4 linked regions of the Sus scrofa genome follow. The protein of the gene in region 3 interacts with the protein of the main gene of each other region in a pairwise test. Links are inferred from orthologs where the notes say so. Each region holds a gene or a part of one and is shown on either strand. Other genes may lie near its edges.

Region 1 (3,988 bases), on a different chromosome or scaffold from region 3:
GAGCGACGGGGCTGAGCTGGGTGAGGTATGCGGGTACCACACTGCTCCCTCCACTGTCTCAGGCGCCTCAGACTTCACCTGGCTTCCTCTGGACTCCTGCGTCACCTCCTCGACACCTGTCAATTGCCAGGGCTCATTGAGGGGTCCTTGTGTCTCATTAAACTATTGTGGCCTCCTAGCCCCACTCAGTCAGTAGAGGCGTCCTTCTTTCCCACATGCCTTAAGACATCCCCTCTCTTCCACTGGCACTCCCTTGCTTCCAGGATAAAGCCCAGCTCTTGGTTCTATGTTCAAGGCCCCTCTTGTCCTGACGACTGATCCCTGACCGCACTTACACCCCCACCAGCCCAAGCCTACCTAAACCACACCTCAGCTTGTCCCATCGCCCCATAGCCCTGGCTCTTTCCACCTTTGCGCATGCTCTTCCCTCCATCCGTGATGCTTCTTTCTGCTTCGTGGAGCAAACTCTAACCCTCCTTAAAAAGCTCAGCCTACGGAGTTCCCGTGGTGGCGCAGTGGTTAACGAATCCGACTAGGAACCATGAGGATGCGGGTTCGGTCCCTGCCCTTGCTCAGTGGGTTAACGATCCGGCGTTGCCGTGAGCTGTGGTGTAGGTTGCAGACGCGGCTCGGATCTCACGTTGCTGTGGCTCTGGCGTAGGCCGGTGGCTACAGCTCCGATTCAACCCCTAGCCTGGGAACCTCCATATGCCTCGGGAGCGGCCCAAGAAATAGCAACAACAACAAAAAAGACAAAAGAAAAAAAAAAAAAAAAAAAAAGCTCAGCCTAGGAGTTTGTGGCTCAGCGGTTCACGAACTCCAGTAACATCCATGAGGACGCACGTTCGCTCCCTGGCCTGGCTCAGTGGGTTAAGGATCCAGCGTTGCTGCTTGCTGTGGCTGTGGTGTAGGCTGGCGGCTACAGCTCCAACTGGATCGCTAGCCTGGGAACTTCCATACGCCGCGGGTGCGGCTCTGAAAAGAGAAAAGCTTGGGCTAAAGGGATGACCACCCTCCCGGGAACCTGTCGGCCCCTCGCCCTTCAGGCGCCCCCCGCGCGGAGAACGCCCGGGCCGAAGCGGGTCTCGCCGCGCCGTCGGCGGGCCCCGCCCCCAGGCGGCCCCGCTGCCCGGGGCGACCCGGCTTCCGGCTCTGAGCCGGAAGTGTAGCGTTGCCATGGCGAGGGCCCGGCGCGGGGCCGCCCCCGCGGCGCCGGGAGGAGCGCCGGGCGGACTGGCCGGCCGCCGGGATCCGATCGGCTGCGCGGTGGCTGCTGGCTCCGGGCGGAAGGTGAGGCGCGGACTTCCGGGGCCCCGGGGGGCCTGCAGGGACCCGCGGGGCGGGCGACGCCGAGTCCGGCGGGATTTTTCCGCGGCCCCGCTCGGGCGCTGATGGGCGAGGCCCGGGCCGCGGGTGCTCAGGGTCGGGACGGCTGCAGAAGTGGCGGCCGTGAAGGCCACCGATAGGCTTTTCACCCTCTAGCCGTCCGTGCCGTTGTTTCCTTTCTTGCGACCTGTTGGTCAGGTAGGCGGCACTAACGTTATCTCCATTTCTGGCTGAGGAAATTAAGGCCTGCAGAGGAGTGACCTGCCCGGGCTTTGTGTGGGCTTTAGGCCGGAGGAGCGACGGGGAGCCTTCCAGGGGCCCCCGGGCTCCGGCGCCGAGATTGCTGTCACGGCAAGAACGATAACGAATGTACTGAAAGTGCCTGGCCCTGCGCTGGCCCGGAGGTGCTCCAGGCCTGGGAGGGGGTGTCCTCCGTGTGGTGGAGCCGAGGCCGAGGCCACGGTGGGCTGGATCTCCGCGGGTGCAGAGAGGGCCAGTGTGTACGGGGTCATCGCAGGCCCACGGAGGCGGGAGGAAGGCCAGCCCTTCCCAAAGCTGGGGGCCTGCCTGTTCTTCCCGGATCCTTAATTTGGGGGTGAGGTGACAGGGGCTCCACACTGCTCTTCTCTGCCCTGTCTTTGCTGCTCCGGGTGCTCCCCAGCAGGAGGGGGAGCTCTCCCTGGGGGCAGAGTAAAAGGGCCTCTGTGGCTCTGGCGGGGCCACCTAGTGCACTTCAGGGGCATCCAGTGGATCCCCAGCCTGGAGCTGAGTTACCCGAGGACCTGTGGCTGCCTGGAGCCGGCAGTACAGGGGCTGGCCCTGGAACCCTTGTGGTGGTGGGCACGTGGTGCTCCGATCAGCTGCGCCCTGCCTGTAAGCTCTTGCTCAGAGCCGGGGTGGGAACGCTTCCCTCTGGTGGGCTCTCCACTGGCCTCACCCGCTCGGGCTGTGCCTGGACTCTGCTCTCCCTAGAAGGCTGCCTGGCCGGCACCTAGCGAGGGGGCTCTTGTGTCTGTGGGCTCAGTTGGGGTCTGTGTTCTTGGGATTTCCGCAACAGTTTGTGTGCCTCTGCGGGCAGTTCTGGAACCTCAGTCTCATAAACCTCTGGTGACTCAGCCCAGCATCTCTGTCCCAAGAGTGACCCAGCCCAGCACCTCTGCCACAGTCCGTGTGTCAGCCAGAGCAAGACGCAGTGTCTCCTTTCACTTCCAGGCTCCCTCAGAACTTCCTCCTAAAGAGCCCTGGTCCTGGCCCTCCTGTCCATCCCTTCGCCTGCCCCTGTGGCTCCTCGTTTCCTTCCAGGATTAAGCACTCACCCCTGGCCAATCTTGGCTTTGTCTCAGCCCCTGGATGGCATCCTTCTCGCCATAGCACATCAGCTTCTTGCACTCTCCTCCCTCACAGGCTTCAGGATTAACACTTGCATGTCTGCACACTAGCCCCCGTCCTCTGCCTCTGCCCCCACTTCTGACCCCCTTTCCACGTGTGTGTCGTGCCACCCCCATACTGAACCCTTGCAGCAGTGAGGGGGAGGGAGTGAGCCTCACCCCACCCCTTCCAAGCTCTCTGGCCTTAGGCACGTCGGACTGAGAGCCGGGGAGAGAGAGGCACAGGAGCACTTGGTCGCGCAGATGCCCAGAGGAGAGGCCTCTGGAGGACGAGCTTGTGCCCAGAACCCAGTGACGGCAGTGGGGCGGGGCCTGCGGTGGACATTGGGTGCTGGCCGTGTCCTTGCTGGGCGGCTGTGTCGGACGGACACGAAGCCTGGGCAGATTGGTGCTGGCAGAGGAGTGCGTGGCGGGGGGCGCACAGAGACAGGGCCCGCAGACCAGTCTTCACTGAGCTTCCAGTGTGAAGAAGCGGGGTGTGCGGGAGGTGGAGAGACTGGAGTTGGTTTAAATGGCCAGGTCTCCAGAGATGCGGAGAGGCTGCGGACTGGCGCAGAGGAGGCACTGCCAGCTTCGCGGTCTCGGCAGGCGGAAGGGGGCTGGGCTGTAGGGTGGACGTGGAGAACCAGGTGGGGCCACAGCACCAAGTAGCGGGAATGGACACCCTCCCCGGGCCCGCAAGGCCAGGGCAAGCCTTGCTCGCTGTTGCTGACAGACCTCCCGTGTTTCTTCTGGGCTGAGCGCTGGGGGTGGGCAGTGCCTGGGGCACCACTGCTAGCTCTGTGCCCCAGTGCCCGTCGAGCCTGGCCTGACACGGCTGCGCACACAGCCGAGTGGTGGTCCTGTCCATCGAGCTGGCTCAGTCACAAGCTCAGGGTCACCTGCAGCCCTTCTGCATGGTCCTCCCAGGGCCCGGAACGGGTCACTCCTCCAGCTCTGAATGCTTCCCGAAAGTCAGGCCCTGGCTTCAGAAAAGAGAACAGTAGGAGTTCCGTCGTGGCTCATCGGAAACGAGTCCATGAGGATGCAAGTTGGATCCCTGGCCTTCCTCAGTGGGTTAAGGATCTGGCGTTGCTGTGGCTGTGGTGTAGGCCGGCAGCTACAGCTCCAATGAGACCGCTGGCCTGGGAACCTCCATATGCTGCGGGTGTGGCCCTAAAAAGACAAAAAAAAAAAAAAAAGGAAAGAAAAGAGAACAGTAACTAGTGGCAAAAATTAAAATGGGTGAGGAGACAGGAGAGTGACAGGGTGGCCACAGAACTCCGAGGAGGAGG
Region 2 (4,296 bases), on a different chromosome or scaffold from region 3:
GTCCTTTGAGTTATTTCTCATTACCAAGTTTATCTTTAATGGCATGACTTCAAAGGTCTGCCCAAGTATGGGAACTGAATTAAAAAACCCAGTTTTAATTTCACAGAAGAAAAGAGTCAACATAGCACAAGTATAGTTAATCTCATCCAAAAGTACCAGTTCTTATTCTGGAGCCACCAGTCATCAGGTCATGGGGACCGGAGTCTGGTCGGTCTCAACCTGCCCTACACACACACAACGCTCCCACTTCTGTGCTCAGCTGACAGTCAGCAGCCACCTCTGGGCCTCAGAGGAAGTCCTGTAGGACCCACTTCTACCAAGAGGCAGAAGCAATGCCTCCCACAGAGCCTTCTCACCAAAAACACTGCGGGGAGAATCAGACCCCAAGTCCCTTCAAGCCGGTCTCTGTTTGCAGAGTGACTACTTGAGACCCCTGAGATGGAGTGAGAAGAGAGAGAAAATGGTACGCAGGGCAGATTCTGGAGACAGACAAGTGCAACAGCAGCCAGGGAGCAAAAGGCTTCAAGTCAGCAATTATTTGATTCCCTCCTCCCAACACTCCATCCCAGCCTTCTCCGGCTGGAGTTGGGAGGATCCTTGCCACTTCATAAGCAGGCACCCCAGCCAGTGTCCCATCTTCCCATCCACAGGGGGTTCCCCTTTGGAAGGTCTCCAGCACTGGTTATGCCAGAAAGAAACCCCTTGGGAGTGAGTGGACCCAGCCTCAGCAGGGCTGGCCGAGGCTTCCTCTGGCTGGGCTGGTTTCCCCCGCCAGAGGTGAAGAAGGGGAGAAGGCAAATCCCCTGGGATTTTGTGCTTTGTCTGCTCCAGGTAGCCACTGGGCTCTCCATCTCAAAGCCTCCCTCTGCAGGCGGCCTGCCACCCCAGGACAGCCACCCTGGTCCCATCTCCTCCTTCCCGGGATCAGCATGGGCACTCAAAATTCGAAGTGCCTCCCCCGGCTCACCACCACCGCATCCTCACTCTGGGGCCACTCAGTGCACATTCCTCCTTTGGCATCACTTGCCCATGAGTTAGGTCAGCAGGCAGAGGGTGCCCCCCACCCTAAACCCTTTCCTCCAGAAGTCCCCCAGGGCCGGGGGACGTACGTCCCTGTGCTCAGCGCATTGGGATTGGTGGCCTCCGCGTCTCTGAGCCTCAACTCTACTTCCGAAAAATTCCGCGTTGAACTCACGCCTCTTAAAAGTCCGGCCACTGGGCTGGGTTGTTTTCGTTGGGTTCGTTTTTGTGGCGGTGTTTTGCCGCTCATTAACTTGTTTCATTCGGTTTCGCTGCCTCCCCGTCACTAAGGGCCCTTTAAGTGGGAGGGGCTGTTAGGAAAGGCTCCAATTTGCGGGAGCCCCGCTCCCCCCAGGAGAACTCAACAATGAGCTAATGACAATTTTATCTTTCTAATGACTTGAGGATTTGTGTAAATGAGAGAGGCAGCGGGGGAGGGATGCAGGAAGCACAGAGAAGAGCCTTTCCATCCCTAAGCCTCCCCGAGTCTTTACCTGAAAGGAAGAAAGCCCCAAAGTTTCTAAACTTTTTTCTTGGTCCTCTCCGCACCAGTCCTGGAGCAACTTAGCTGAATGACTAGCTAAGGAAAGAGTTGTGTATGTGTGTGTTTGTGTGTATGTGTGTGCGTTTTAAAAGCTCCCCGAACCTAAGAAAATAAACAAAGCTGAGCCTTAGCTTTTTCTCGGCCTTTCTGAGCTTCCCAGATTTGGGGTTTGGGTGTTTGTTTCCTGGCGCATCCCATCTGCGGGGGCGGGGGGGGGCGCGTCAGAATTCCCATGGGGACTCGGGTCCCTCCCAGAGGAAAGATGAGCTCTTCTCGGAACCAGAGCTAAGGCTTTGTTTCAGGTGCGGAGAAAGCGAGACTGGATCCCCGGGACAGCGGCTCCAGGAACCGGACCGGGTGTGCGCCGGGCTCGCCCAGCCGCGCACCACTTCGGACGGGTTGGAAGCTCTTGGGGCCGATGGGCACGGCTGAGAGCAACCTCCAGGGAGCACGTCCCCCGTCCCGGGGCGCAGTGTAGACAGCCCCGGGGCCCCCGCCTCACCTTGGGGCTTGGAGGCCTCGGTGGCGTTAGGCGGGGTCATGGCGATGCAGACGTCGCCCTCGGGGAACTTGTCACACTTGAGCATCTCGGGCCAGTAGAAGCCGAAGAACTGCATGACGGGCTCGCACGAGTCGCGCACGGCCTCGCAGAGCCAGCGGCAAGGGTAGATGGGCCGGTCCAGGCAGACGGGCGCGAAGAGCGAACAGAGGAAGACCTGGGTGCCGATGTGGCAGTTCTTGTTGAGCAGGGGCACCCAGCTGCTGGCCTGCTGCTTCACCTCGGCCATGGTCTCGTGCTCCAGCAGGTTAGGCAGCACCATCTTCTTGTAGCCCACGTTGTGGCAGAGCCGCAGGTCTACCGGGATGTCCACGCACTGCGGCGGCTTGGTGTAGAAGCGCCCGCTCTGGTACGAGCCAATGTCCGACTGGAAACTCACGTAGTCGTACTCGCTGGCCGAACCCGCGGCCAGGAGCCCGGCGGCCAGCGCCAGCAGCACTCCCGCCGCGGCCCAGCGCCCGCCGCCCATGCTCGGCGCCCCGGCCCCCGCGACGCGGGGCGTCCTCGGCCGCCTCCCCGCGCGCGTCCCGCCGCGAACTTCCAGGGACCCTCGCGGACAAAAGGCGCAGTCCGCACCCGCCGCAGCTCAGCGGCCGCGGGCTCCTGCCCGGCGCTGGATGGGGGCCCTGGGGAGCTCGCGCGGGGAGGCGAGCGCGCGGCCCGAGTGCGGCGCGGCTCCCGAGGCGGCGGGACCCGAGTCCCCGGCGCTCCCGCGGCCGAGCCCTCCGAGCCGCGCCAGCCAATCACGCTGGCCGCCGCGAGCGCTCAGGACCCGCCCGTCAGTCACCCGCGCCGCCGGCCAATCGGCTTGCGGCTCCCCGGCGGGAGGGGTCGGTTCCCTAGAACTCAGCGCAGGTCAACACCCCTTAAAAAACAAAACCAAAAAATAAATGAAGAAAGAAAGAAGGGGGGAGAGAGAGGAAGAAAAAAAAAGGAGGGGGGAGAGAGACGACGGATAGAAGTGTGCGGTGGATAAAGACGATGTTTAACGCTGTAATTAACTTGAGTGGGATCACAGGAAAGCAAAGAACCGCAACAGTACTTGCAAATCCATAAGATAATGAAGACTTTAAAAAACATAAAAATAAACACTTTTTCGTAACTTTACGCAGCAGCCCACCTCCTCGGGTTTGTTCTCCGTGGCTGCGGTACGCAGACGGGCAGTTTCCAAGACCCGGCTCACGAAGCCTACAGCGAAGGAGGTCGGCTTTTAAATCCCCAGCTGGTCGTCTTGGCTTCCCGCAAAGAACCAGGGAAAGGGGTAGTCGGGTTGTCCGCTGGCTTTAAAAGGCAATGCCTTTCCAAGGTGGGACAAGATGATTGATGGCCCTCCGACCCCCTGGAGGCAGTGAGTCGGGAAAGGGTGCTCGCAAAGGTGTTAGCCTGGGGAGGACAATTACAAAAAGAAAAAGAAGAAAGAAAGAAACCCCTGCTCGAGGCCCAGCCCGACAGCTCGTCTGTGTGTGCACGCATATGCACGTTGACATGTTTGTGGTATAGAAAGCCACAACATTAGAAACACATGCGCACTTATCAGCGTGGCTTGTGTAAATATCAAGTCCATCACTCAAGCACACATGCTACATTCATAGCTGGCCCAGGAGCCTCCAGTCAAAAATTCAGGGTTCCCGGTAAGGCAGAAGAAGCCAAGAGGGAAGTATGAGCAGAGAAACAGCTCGGCCTTCTCATCGAGCCCTGGACACCCACCCTGAAACAGAACTCTCCCCCACCACCCTCTGACCCAGAGGCCCTGGGGATTCCTTGTATGTTTCAAAAGGGTACCCTGAGAGGGAAGTGTAATCCAGAAAGCTGGGGGTGTAATTATGATTAATCCCAGGGCAGGGAGATAGCAACAAGCAGTTCATGCGGCTGTCTGGGTCTCCCACCCTGAAGTGTGGGGTGAAGGAAGGCATCTGAGCAGGGCGGCACCACCCCCAGGTGGCAAATGGGCCACAGAGCTCTGAGCTCAGGGCAGACATGGGAGAAGGCGCTGTCTTGCTGGGCTAGCTTGTTTGTAAAGCTCTGGGGAAGCTTGCTCTGGACGCTGCAGAGCAAATTTCTTGATGGACAGATTCCAAGTCAAACGACTAGCGTTTTGGAAGGAGCCAGGCTATTTTCTTAAAGCACTCCGGCCTCTACGCAGGTGGGGGTTCCGCTGTGCACATGGGCAACG
Region 3 (3,949 bases):
ATGGGTTGTTTTTTTACAAGTCAGAGGTCATATTTAAATCACTAAAGCAAGGCAAGCAATTGTGCAGAGGCTGGCAGTCTTGCAGTTTGACAATGGCCATCTTCAGAGCCAAGATGCTGCTGGCCAATCAGGACGTGAAAACAACTTACAACTGCCTGCTCTGCAGGAAAAGCGCTGGCCCTCACTGCTCCCTGAACAAGATCACAAAATAAATCAGTCTCAATTTCACTTCTCTCCAACACAGTAGAACTATCGGACAAGTCAACTGCTAGTTTATTTTCCTGAACCCAAAGTTTCACCGTGCAGTTATTTAAATAAGTGAACATTAGTAATACGAAGGAGTGACAACAAACATTAAGGTTTTATCACCTGTAAGGCAGACTTTCCAAGGTGGCGTGTAGAAGTGATGCCTCCTTAGGAAAAACTACTAAAAGTTTAGAGTAGCTGTAGTGGTTAAAATCTAAAACCAACATGGTGTTCTCTTAAATAAGACCTCACTTTTGAGTTGTCTTTTTTTTTTTTTTTTTTTTTTTTAGTGCTATTACTGAGTTACTTCTCAACTAGCCCGTAGAGTCCTCCACCTTTTTTTTAAAAGTGAACTAACATGTAAAAAATTCTACCAAGGTCACAAAACTCACATTCCCTCCCTTAAATACTAAAAATTTAAGTATATTTTCAGATATACTTAAAATCTTAAGTGAAAATTTTGTGAGGCATTAAAAAAAATTCACAAACTTATTATCAACATCTTCTATCTTGGATGTTATACAGATCCTCAGTGGATTATTTTTCACTGTTTCTCCATCAATTTAACATTTATGAGAAAAAAAGGAAGTCTGATGAACAGCTAGCTTACTCCCAAGGCATTAAAACACAACATTATATTAATGTCAGTGAAAAAAAAAATGAAATTTAAAAAAAACCCTGGTTTTTCAAGTGCAATATTTATATAGAAACCATTAAAAAACAATTGCTCTCATTTTAGATTATCCAAGTTTATCAAGGAAAATTTCTTAGCACACTTTAAAATATATGGATATAAGACTCATGGGCAACCTAGAATTTATCTTAAAATTCTAATGTTTTGAATCCACAGACCCCCTTTCTCAATGAAATAAAGCCCACTCTTTCGGCACATGCACCCCTGGATAGATACGCACAAGTTAATTCACAACTTTTGAACCAAAAAAAACTAAGTTCTTAGTGCCAACTGCTTTAATCTTTCTGACCCACTGCTGCTCACATAAATCAAAGAACTCTATTAATATTTAATATTAATATTAAAAGTGTTGTTCTTATAATAAATGCCAAGTACTGAGTAAATAGGGTTTTCACCCACAAATGGCAGAAGCATTTTAGGGGTCTATTTAATGGGTTCTTCTTTTGAGAAACTAGAAAAGGAAAACACCCCACACAGATTAAGATATTTTCAGGAGTTTCATTCTAATGACTTAAAAGATCTGCAAACTCTAACATCAGAGCTGACCAACTGTTCATGCTCTCGACTCCATCTCCCACAACATTTACAGCAGTATTTTAGAACTGCACAAAGGCAAAAACCAGTTAAAAACTCGGCCAAACCTACATTATCAAGAACCCGAATCAGGAAAGATTTGAATTCTTTCAAAGTTTGGAATTAGACATCAGTATTAATAGGTGGGCTCTGGAATTTGGGGGTAGTGGGGAATGATTTCACTTCAGCGTCCCTCCTTAAAATCCCTACTTCATCTGTCACCCATATCAATATGAATCAACTGTCAGACACCTCACGAGTCTTAGGTCACCCAATATTAAAGATTTATTTTAACCTCTGCTTAACCACTGGACACCTCCTTCCTTCACACACAGGCTGACTTGAATGAATTCTTGCTCCTGGATGTCTGGGTTTTAAACCTGTCACCGTGTGACCTTGGTAAAGTGACTTCTCTTAGTTTCCTCTAAAAAAAAATAGGAAAAAAAGAGCACCTATCTCATAAGACTGTTGGGAGAATTACAAGAAATCTGTGTAAAGTGCTCCAAAAATGCCCGACACATAGTAAACACTGGCTAATACTAAGATTGTATTTATCAGATGAACGCAAAGCGCTTAACACAGAGAATGGCACACTGGAAAGATTCTAACGAAACTGTCACCGCTGCTGGCTGCACGGTTCGGAGGCACGTTCAGAAAAGAGCGCGGAGACCTCAAGGTAAGAACAACTTTAAAAAAGTGTTTGGGAAGAGTAGGAGATGGGATTCAACATCCTCTTGAGATTTGAACGTTCGTCACCAAGTAACAAGAAACGGGCCAGTGGACCCCAACCTCACAAAAAATAAAAATGAGAAGCAAAGAAATTAGTCCTCAAGCCCGGGAGGATCCATAGCCCCATCACATTGCTTTCCGAGAGGAGGAGTTACCAGAAAGTTCGGAACATTTCTTCTTGCAGAATGGACTGGGGCCCCCCAATCTTCTCCGAAGATTGGCCGGGGTTGCGGGGCGCATGGGGGGCACGTACCGGAAACGTGGGGGTGGGGAGCGGAGTTTTCAAATTTCACGGCCAGGAGAAAGGCTGCACCCTCGTGCAATGAATGAGCGGAGCTGGAGGGTCCGCGGATTAGGCCAAGAGCGGGACCACGGGCGGCCTCCCTCCGGCTGCAGCCCCCGGCTCGGGGGCGAACTCGTGGGGCTCACTCCCCTCGGCGCTGCAAGCCCAAGAGGCCTCCCAAATCCCCCACCCTCGCGAGTTCCCGGAGCCGCCCGCCGCCCCCTTCACCTTCCAGCAGCCGTTGGATGATGCTGTCGATGTTGAGTTTATCTATATCCGCCATCGCCTTCCCACCGCCGACCCTCCCGTAGCGGCGCCGCCACCGGCTCGCGCCCGGGATTCACGCCTCCTTTCCCACGCCACGAGCACAGAAATGGTGGTGGCGGCGGTGGCAGAAGCCGCGGCGGGTCCCCCCCAACCGCCCCGCTCCCTGCTTCCTCCTCTCTCCCTACTGGAACCACGAGAAGAACAAAATGGCCGCCGACTCCTTAGCCAGCCTCGGGCGGCGCACGAATGCGCGCGGGGGAGTGCAGCGGCCCGGCCGGGACTTCTTTATGGGCCACAGGGCACGCGGGAGGGGGCGGGATCAGGGCTCGGGAAGGAGGCGGGGCCAGAGCGCGGGAAGGGGGAGGAGACAGTTGAGCACAACCGCGTTCGCGCGCGGAATCCTTCCGCCAAACGGGCTGAGCAAATAGGTCCTGTGGCGGGAGCGTGAGTTGCAAAGTCGCACGCGGGAGTTGTGGCCTGGGGTGAAGCTGCAGTTGTGCGCCCAAAGATTCGGCCTCCGCAGGACGCTGTTCATTGGGGCCAGATGTTTGCGGACCTGGCCATGTGAAAGCCCATGGAGGGAATCCGGGGGTGCTGGAATTTCCCCTAAACATAAATCTGGGGTAGAGGTGAAGAGGGAGAATAATAAAGAGAAGTAGGGTGACTTTTTTTGGAGTCAGATTTGCTGGGATTTGGGGGTAAGGGGAAGGCTTGATAACTAGGAAAAAAAGTCGTCTCTCAGATAAATAAAAATGTTAACAGTTACTCATTTTGAGTGGTGGATTTCCACCTGTATTTACAGGTATTTATATGTACAGTTTTTTTGGGGGCGCTCTCAAACTTTGGGGGAATTTTTTTAAAAAATCTTGAAAAAATTAATCATCCCTATCTTTGGATTATCTTTCTAGAATTCGGGAAGTTATATAATCATCGGAACGGTTACCCTGATTCTAGGCAGAACGAAGGTGAGCGAGCGTTCACCTTCAAATAAAGGGAGAATTTGCAGATTTCGCGCGTCCGAGCTCTTGGCCAGAAGAGAGCAAGTGTTTGCGGGCGGGTCCTGATTTCTGCAGATACCCCGGGAAACTTTGGCCCTTTTCCTTCGGCTTCCCAGTCTCCCCAAGGGCATCGCTCTCCAGCCCCCCCCTCCCGCCCCC
Region 4 (4,306 bases), on a different chromosome or scaffold from region 3:
TAGGACATAACCTTAGGTAAGGTGAGATTGCCTTATAATTCTTTTTTTTATATAGAGGAATATATTGGTTCTTTGCAGATATCTGCTATGCAACAGAATGTCATAGGATCAGGTATACTAGGCTCTATTCTTCTTCAGTGGAGGGATGTTATATAAGTCCATTAGTGAAATTTAAAGAAATTTTACCCAGACCAAGAATGACGAAGAATAATGCACCCATTTTTTTTTAATGCACCCATCTTTCCATAGGAAAACACACACACACACACACAGATTTTGAAAGAAAAAGATGAGAAAAATCTTGAATTTAAGGACTGAGGGTGTTTCGGAATCAACAGTAATAGGAACTAACATTTATTGAGTAACTTCCATGGGCTAGTTCCTTTGCAAAATTATCTCCAATCTTTGCAACAATCAGCAAGGCAGGCATCAGAAAATCGAGGTTCCTAAATATTATATAACTTGCCCAGGATCATAAAATTAAACACAACAGAGCTGGAATTGGTGCCTCTGCCAGGATCTGTCTGCCACCAAAGACCCTGCTCATTCTACTACATACTTAATGATAAAATCATGTATTTGGAAAAACTGGGGACCAGAGGATTTGAACAATTTCTCTTTCCCTCTTTTCCCTCTGAGAGCCTTTCTTTTGTTTTTGGTTCTGATGTTTTCACCCTAGAGTTTGAGTGGGATCGAATATAGGGTACCTGTAAAGAGAATGATTCCACAGCCCCCACAATATAACAATTTCTTTCCTTTAGAGCCTTACCTGGGATGTGGAAGGGACTGGGGATGGATGAGCGGAGTGGGGGTGGGGGTGGGGGTGGGGGAGTGTGTTAGAATATGGATTGTTTTTCTCTTAATTTTAGATTGTTTATAAATTTCAGGACAACTCGTTTATTTTCTTCTCTTGCTTGTCTTATTATTATTAATTTGTTCTATTTTGGGGGAGGTTGGGTGTTAAGGGTTTGGTATCTGTTGGGAATTCCTGAAATGATTTGCCAATAGATCCAAAAAAAAGTTAAGGTCAAAGACAATTCCTTCATCTGTTTCAGGAAAGGATGCGTGGGGGGGGGGGTTGATTCTGGGTCACCCTTCTTACATCCAGACGCACTGAACGGATTACAAAGGCTACCCCTTGAATCTCGAGAGGTGAAATCCAGGAGATTCCCCTCACATCCCTGCTCTCAGGTGAAGGTCCGAGTGAGAGGAACGTTCACGTACCTTCTGGAGAGAAGGAAAAGGTGTAAAGATGCTCATGGCCTGAGGCCTAGGGAGTGGGGAGGAGACCCACTAAGGTCGGTGGGGACCGAGGGGCTTCCGGGGGGCGTCGTCGGGGGCGGTCCGGCGGCCCCAGGGCGACGCAGGGAGCCCGGGGCCCCCGCCATCCCCAGGCCGCGCTCCCTCGCGTTCCCTGCGGCTCGTGCCCGGGCGGCCGCCGCAGTCCCGGCGCCGTAGCCGGGCGTGGGGTCCAGGGGGCGCTGTGGCCCAGCGGCGCCGGCGGCAGGAGCGGCCACGGCGACGCTGGAGGCTTCGCCGAGGATCCCCGCCTGCAGCACCTCGGTCGTCCCGCTGCAGCCTCGCACCCCCCGCCCGGCTCAGCGGCGCTCCTGCGGGATCCGCGTGGCTGCGGCGGCCCGGGAGCCCGATGAGGCTCGGCGGGCGCTGGGCCTCAGCACCAGCGGCGACCACAGCCCCTTCAGGAGTGGGAGGCTTCGCGGCGGCGGCGGCGGCGGCGCCTGGGGCCGGGCGGGTGCCCTCCGGAGGAGGCTGTGGGCTCAGGGACGACCCCCCGGCCATGCTGAGGCGGCGGCGGCCGCTGCTCGAGGTGAGTGTGACGCGGCGTCGCGCGGTCCCGGGCTCGCTGGCCTTTGGCCGCCCGGGGAGGGCCCTGGCGGCGAGACCTCGGGCCGGGCGGACGGGGCGTCCTGCCGCTGCGGCCGCCTCCCCCACCCAGGCTCGGGGGCCTCAGCCCTTCCTCCCCGCGTCCCCCGGGGGGCTGGAGGCGCGTGGGGGACGAGTAGGCCCCGCGTCGCCGGGAAGCCCTTGCCCCGGCCTGGGCTCCGGGGCGGCCGCGTCTGTGGAGAGCGGGGCTGGCAGGGTCCCTGGCACCCTTCGGGTTGGCCGCGGGCCCGGGCCGAGCGCAGCCTCTTACCCTGGGCCCCGCACGTACATCCCGGAGGGAGGCAGAGGACGCCTGTTTGCAAACAGCCTGGGCTTCTCGCGCCCCAGGCTCAGTCCCGAAGAGTCCCGGGGGTCGGGGGCGGGAGGGTGAGAAAGCCGGTGCGGAAAGCGCGGGGCCCTGGAAGCCCTTGGAACTCCCTGGAGTGTCATTCACCCATCCGACTGGCTTGAAAACAACCTTTTGCGTCTTCTTTGAGGTGAAATTTCATCACCTACCGGCAGCTCATCTCTGCTGCTTCTGTTACCTTTTGCTTCTAAGCGTGGTCTGCCTCGGAGAAAGCCCCATTCCAGCTTTGAGATGTTAACGTCTCCCAGATAATACTCAAAATTAGAAAAACATCTTTTTTAAAAAAACAAAGGTCTGTTCCCCCCATCACCCCTCCCCCCCGTAAGAGTGTGAGTATTGTAATGCCTTAGTCCGTGGTTCAAAATTGTCCCCCTAAATAGATCCATAGGATGGATGACAAGAGGATTTTAAAAAGTCATGCTAACTATCCCAGTAACAGAGACCTGATGGAAATAGGACATATTCTAGATTTTAGTAATTAAGTGATTTATTTTGGTATTAATATAAAAAAAAGTTGGTGATCACGGTTTGATACCATTAAGTCAGCCCTTTGGGTATTTATGATAAATGTGGTTCAGGTTATTCTTGTTTTCCTATAATGTATGTGAAGTATGGAGGATTATTAAGTACTTATAAAACTTTTATAATCCTGAAAATATATGTTTATTGTAGAAAATTTGAAAAGTACAGAGAAGTACTGTGCTGACCCTCAGTAAATGTTTAATAATAGGGGAAAAGTCACCCATCATCTTACAGAACGTTTTGGTCACTTAAAGTTTAAAATGGCTTGTATTACTGGTGATTTTTAAATTATTATCTCTGTATTAGCTTCAGAGTTAACTGTTCCATTTTACTGTTTAACATCCAGTCATTTGTATAAAAATGTTTTGCTAAATTACGTTGCAGTCATAGTTGAATTTATTAGCTACTACCTAAAAGACCCCTGATTTACCTCCTGTGCAGCTTCAGTTTTAAGGAGGTTTTGTGTATTGAACTTTTTTTTTTGAGGACCTGTTCTATTAGATGCCATAGCCTTGTATTGTTTTTTTGTTAAGATTTTCCCTAAATATTTATAACTGTAAAAAAATTGACTTCATTAAAAAGTTGGGGGGAGGTAGATTAATTTAGGTTTTAAAAAATCCAGTTCAGTTCTTACTGTGTCCCTAAAGACTATCATTATTAGAATCACTGAGAGTGCTTATTAGCATATGCAGATTCCTGGCACTCTGAACCACAATTTCTAGAGTGGTAAGTGACCCAAGATGTTCATTTTTATCAAGCTCCCCAGTACTTAGTCTTACTAAAGTTTTCGAATCACTGATAATAAGTTTAAAGTTTAACTAGCCTTATCAAGCTGAATGAAAATACCTGTTTTCTAGCAAAGTTATCAGTCTTAAGTGGCTATACAGTCATTTCTCATAGCAACAGCTGATGGTGTTATAATCTCGAGAAAATGATGATCTTTCAAGGGACAGCTGAGTCAATCTACGTAAACTTATTGAGGGCCTTTTTTGGTAGTTGTGGTGTTACAGAAGGATGCCTGGCCTCTTGAACCTTAGCTCTTAGTCTTGGACTTTGGTATCATTGTAAAATTCAGATAGTTATTATACTTATCTTGAAAGGCTTTTAGGGTAAATACATCTGAAAAAGGTTTTTGATCTGTAAAATATCTTTGTAAAATTTTATCTATTGGTATTAAGTGCCAGGTCCTGTTTTTGCTGTTTTGAGGAACACAAAAATGACCAAGGTCTCTGTTAGCAACTAGCTAATTATGGAAGCAGGATATGTTTAATTAACTGTTACAAGGCAGAGTCAGACAAGTGTAATGGAGTGGAACATGCTAGAACTCTCTTTAAGGCTTCTATAAACTGTTTAATCCAGTAGCTTGCTCTTTATTAGTAATTTTTATATATGATCATTCTTTTTTTTTTTTTTCCAACTCCTGATGCAGTGTTTTATTCTTTACAAAGAAAATTGTGTATGTTGCCTGGTAAGAGATAGTTTTATATTAACTCCTTTAGAAAGGCTTTGAGTGGAGATGATCCTGTTTCTTCC

What was found. The genes of interacting proteins can lie anywhere in the genome.
Region 1: the proteins of PPP1CC (region 3) and PPP1R16A interact in binary tests that used the Homo sapiens proteins (3 or more experiments, as listed by UniProt). The link is inferred for Sus scrofa from reciprocal best matches to the Homo sapiens genes PPP1CC and PPP1R16A.
Region 2: the proteins of PPP1CC (region 3) and SFRP1 interact in a two-hybrid assay, tested with the Homo sapiens proteins (2 studies listed by BioGRID). The link is inferred for Sus scrofa from reciprocal best matches to the Homo sapiens genes PPP1CC and SFRP1.
Region 4: the proteins of PPP1CC (region 3) and ZFYVE9 interact in binary tests that used the Homo sapiens proteins (3 or more experiments, as listed by UniProt). The link is inferred for Sus scrofa from reciprocal best matches to the Homo sapiens genes PPP1CC and ZFYVE9.

The regions. Positions count from the first base shown.
Region 1 is NC_010446.5:317,239-321,226, reverse strand, and holds the start of PPP1R16A (protein phosphatase 1 regulatory subunit 16A), read left to right. Parts: upstream 1-1,179; 5' UTR 1,180-1,290; intron 1,291-1,296; exon of another isoform or gene 1,297-1,524; intron 1,525-3,988. UniProt on the Homo sapiens protein: Inhibits protein phosphatase 1 activity toward phosphorylase, myosin light chain and myosin substrates.
Region 2 is NC_010459.5:10,486,965-10,491,260, forward strand, and holds the start of SFRP1 (secreted frizzled-related protein 1), read right to left. Parts: upstream 2,810-4,296; 5' UTR 2,593-2,809; coding exon 2,067-2,592; intron 1-2,066. UniProt on the Homo sapiens protein: Soluble frizzled-related proteins (sFRPS) function as modulators of Wnt signaling through direct interaction with Wnts. They have a role in regulating cell growth and differentiation in specific cell types. SFRP1 decreases intracellular beta-catenin levels.
Region 3 is NC_010456.5:32,088,460-32,092,408, forward strand, and holds the start of PPP1CC (serine/threonine-protein phosphatase PP1-gamma catalytic subunit), read right to left. Parts: upstream 2,809-3,949; coding exon 2,754-2,808; intron 1-2,753. UniProt on the Homo sapiens protein: Protein phosphatase that associates with over 200 regulatory proteins to form highly specific holoenzymes which dephosphorylate hundreds of biological targets.
Region 4 is NC_010448.4:160,071,667-160,075,972, reverse strand, and holds the start of ZFYVE9 (zinc finger FYVE domain-containing protein 9), read left to right. Parts: upstream 1-1,497; 5' UTR 1,498-1,828; exon of another isoform or gene 1,829-1,891; intron 1,892-2,155; exon of another isoform or gene 2,156-2,334; intron 2,335-4,306. UniProt on the Homo sapiens protein: Early endosomal protein that functions to recruit SMAD2/SMAD3 to intracellular membranes and to the TGF-beta receptor.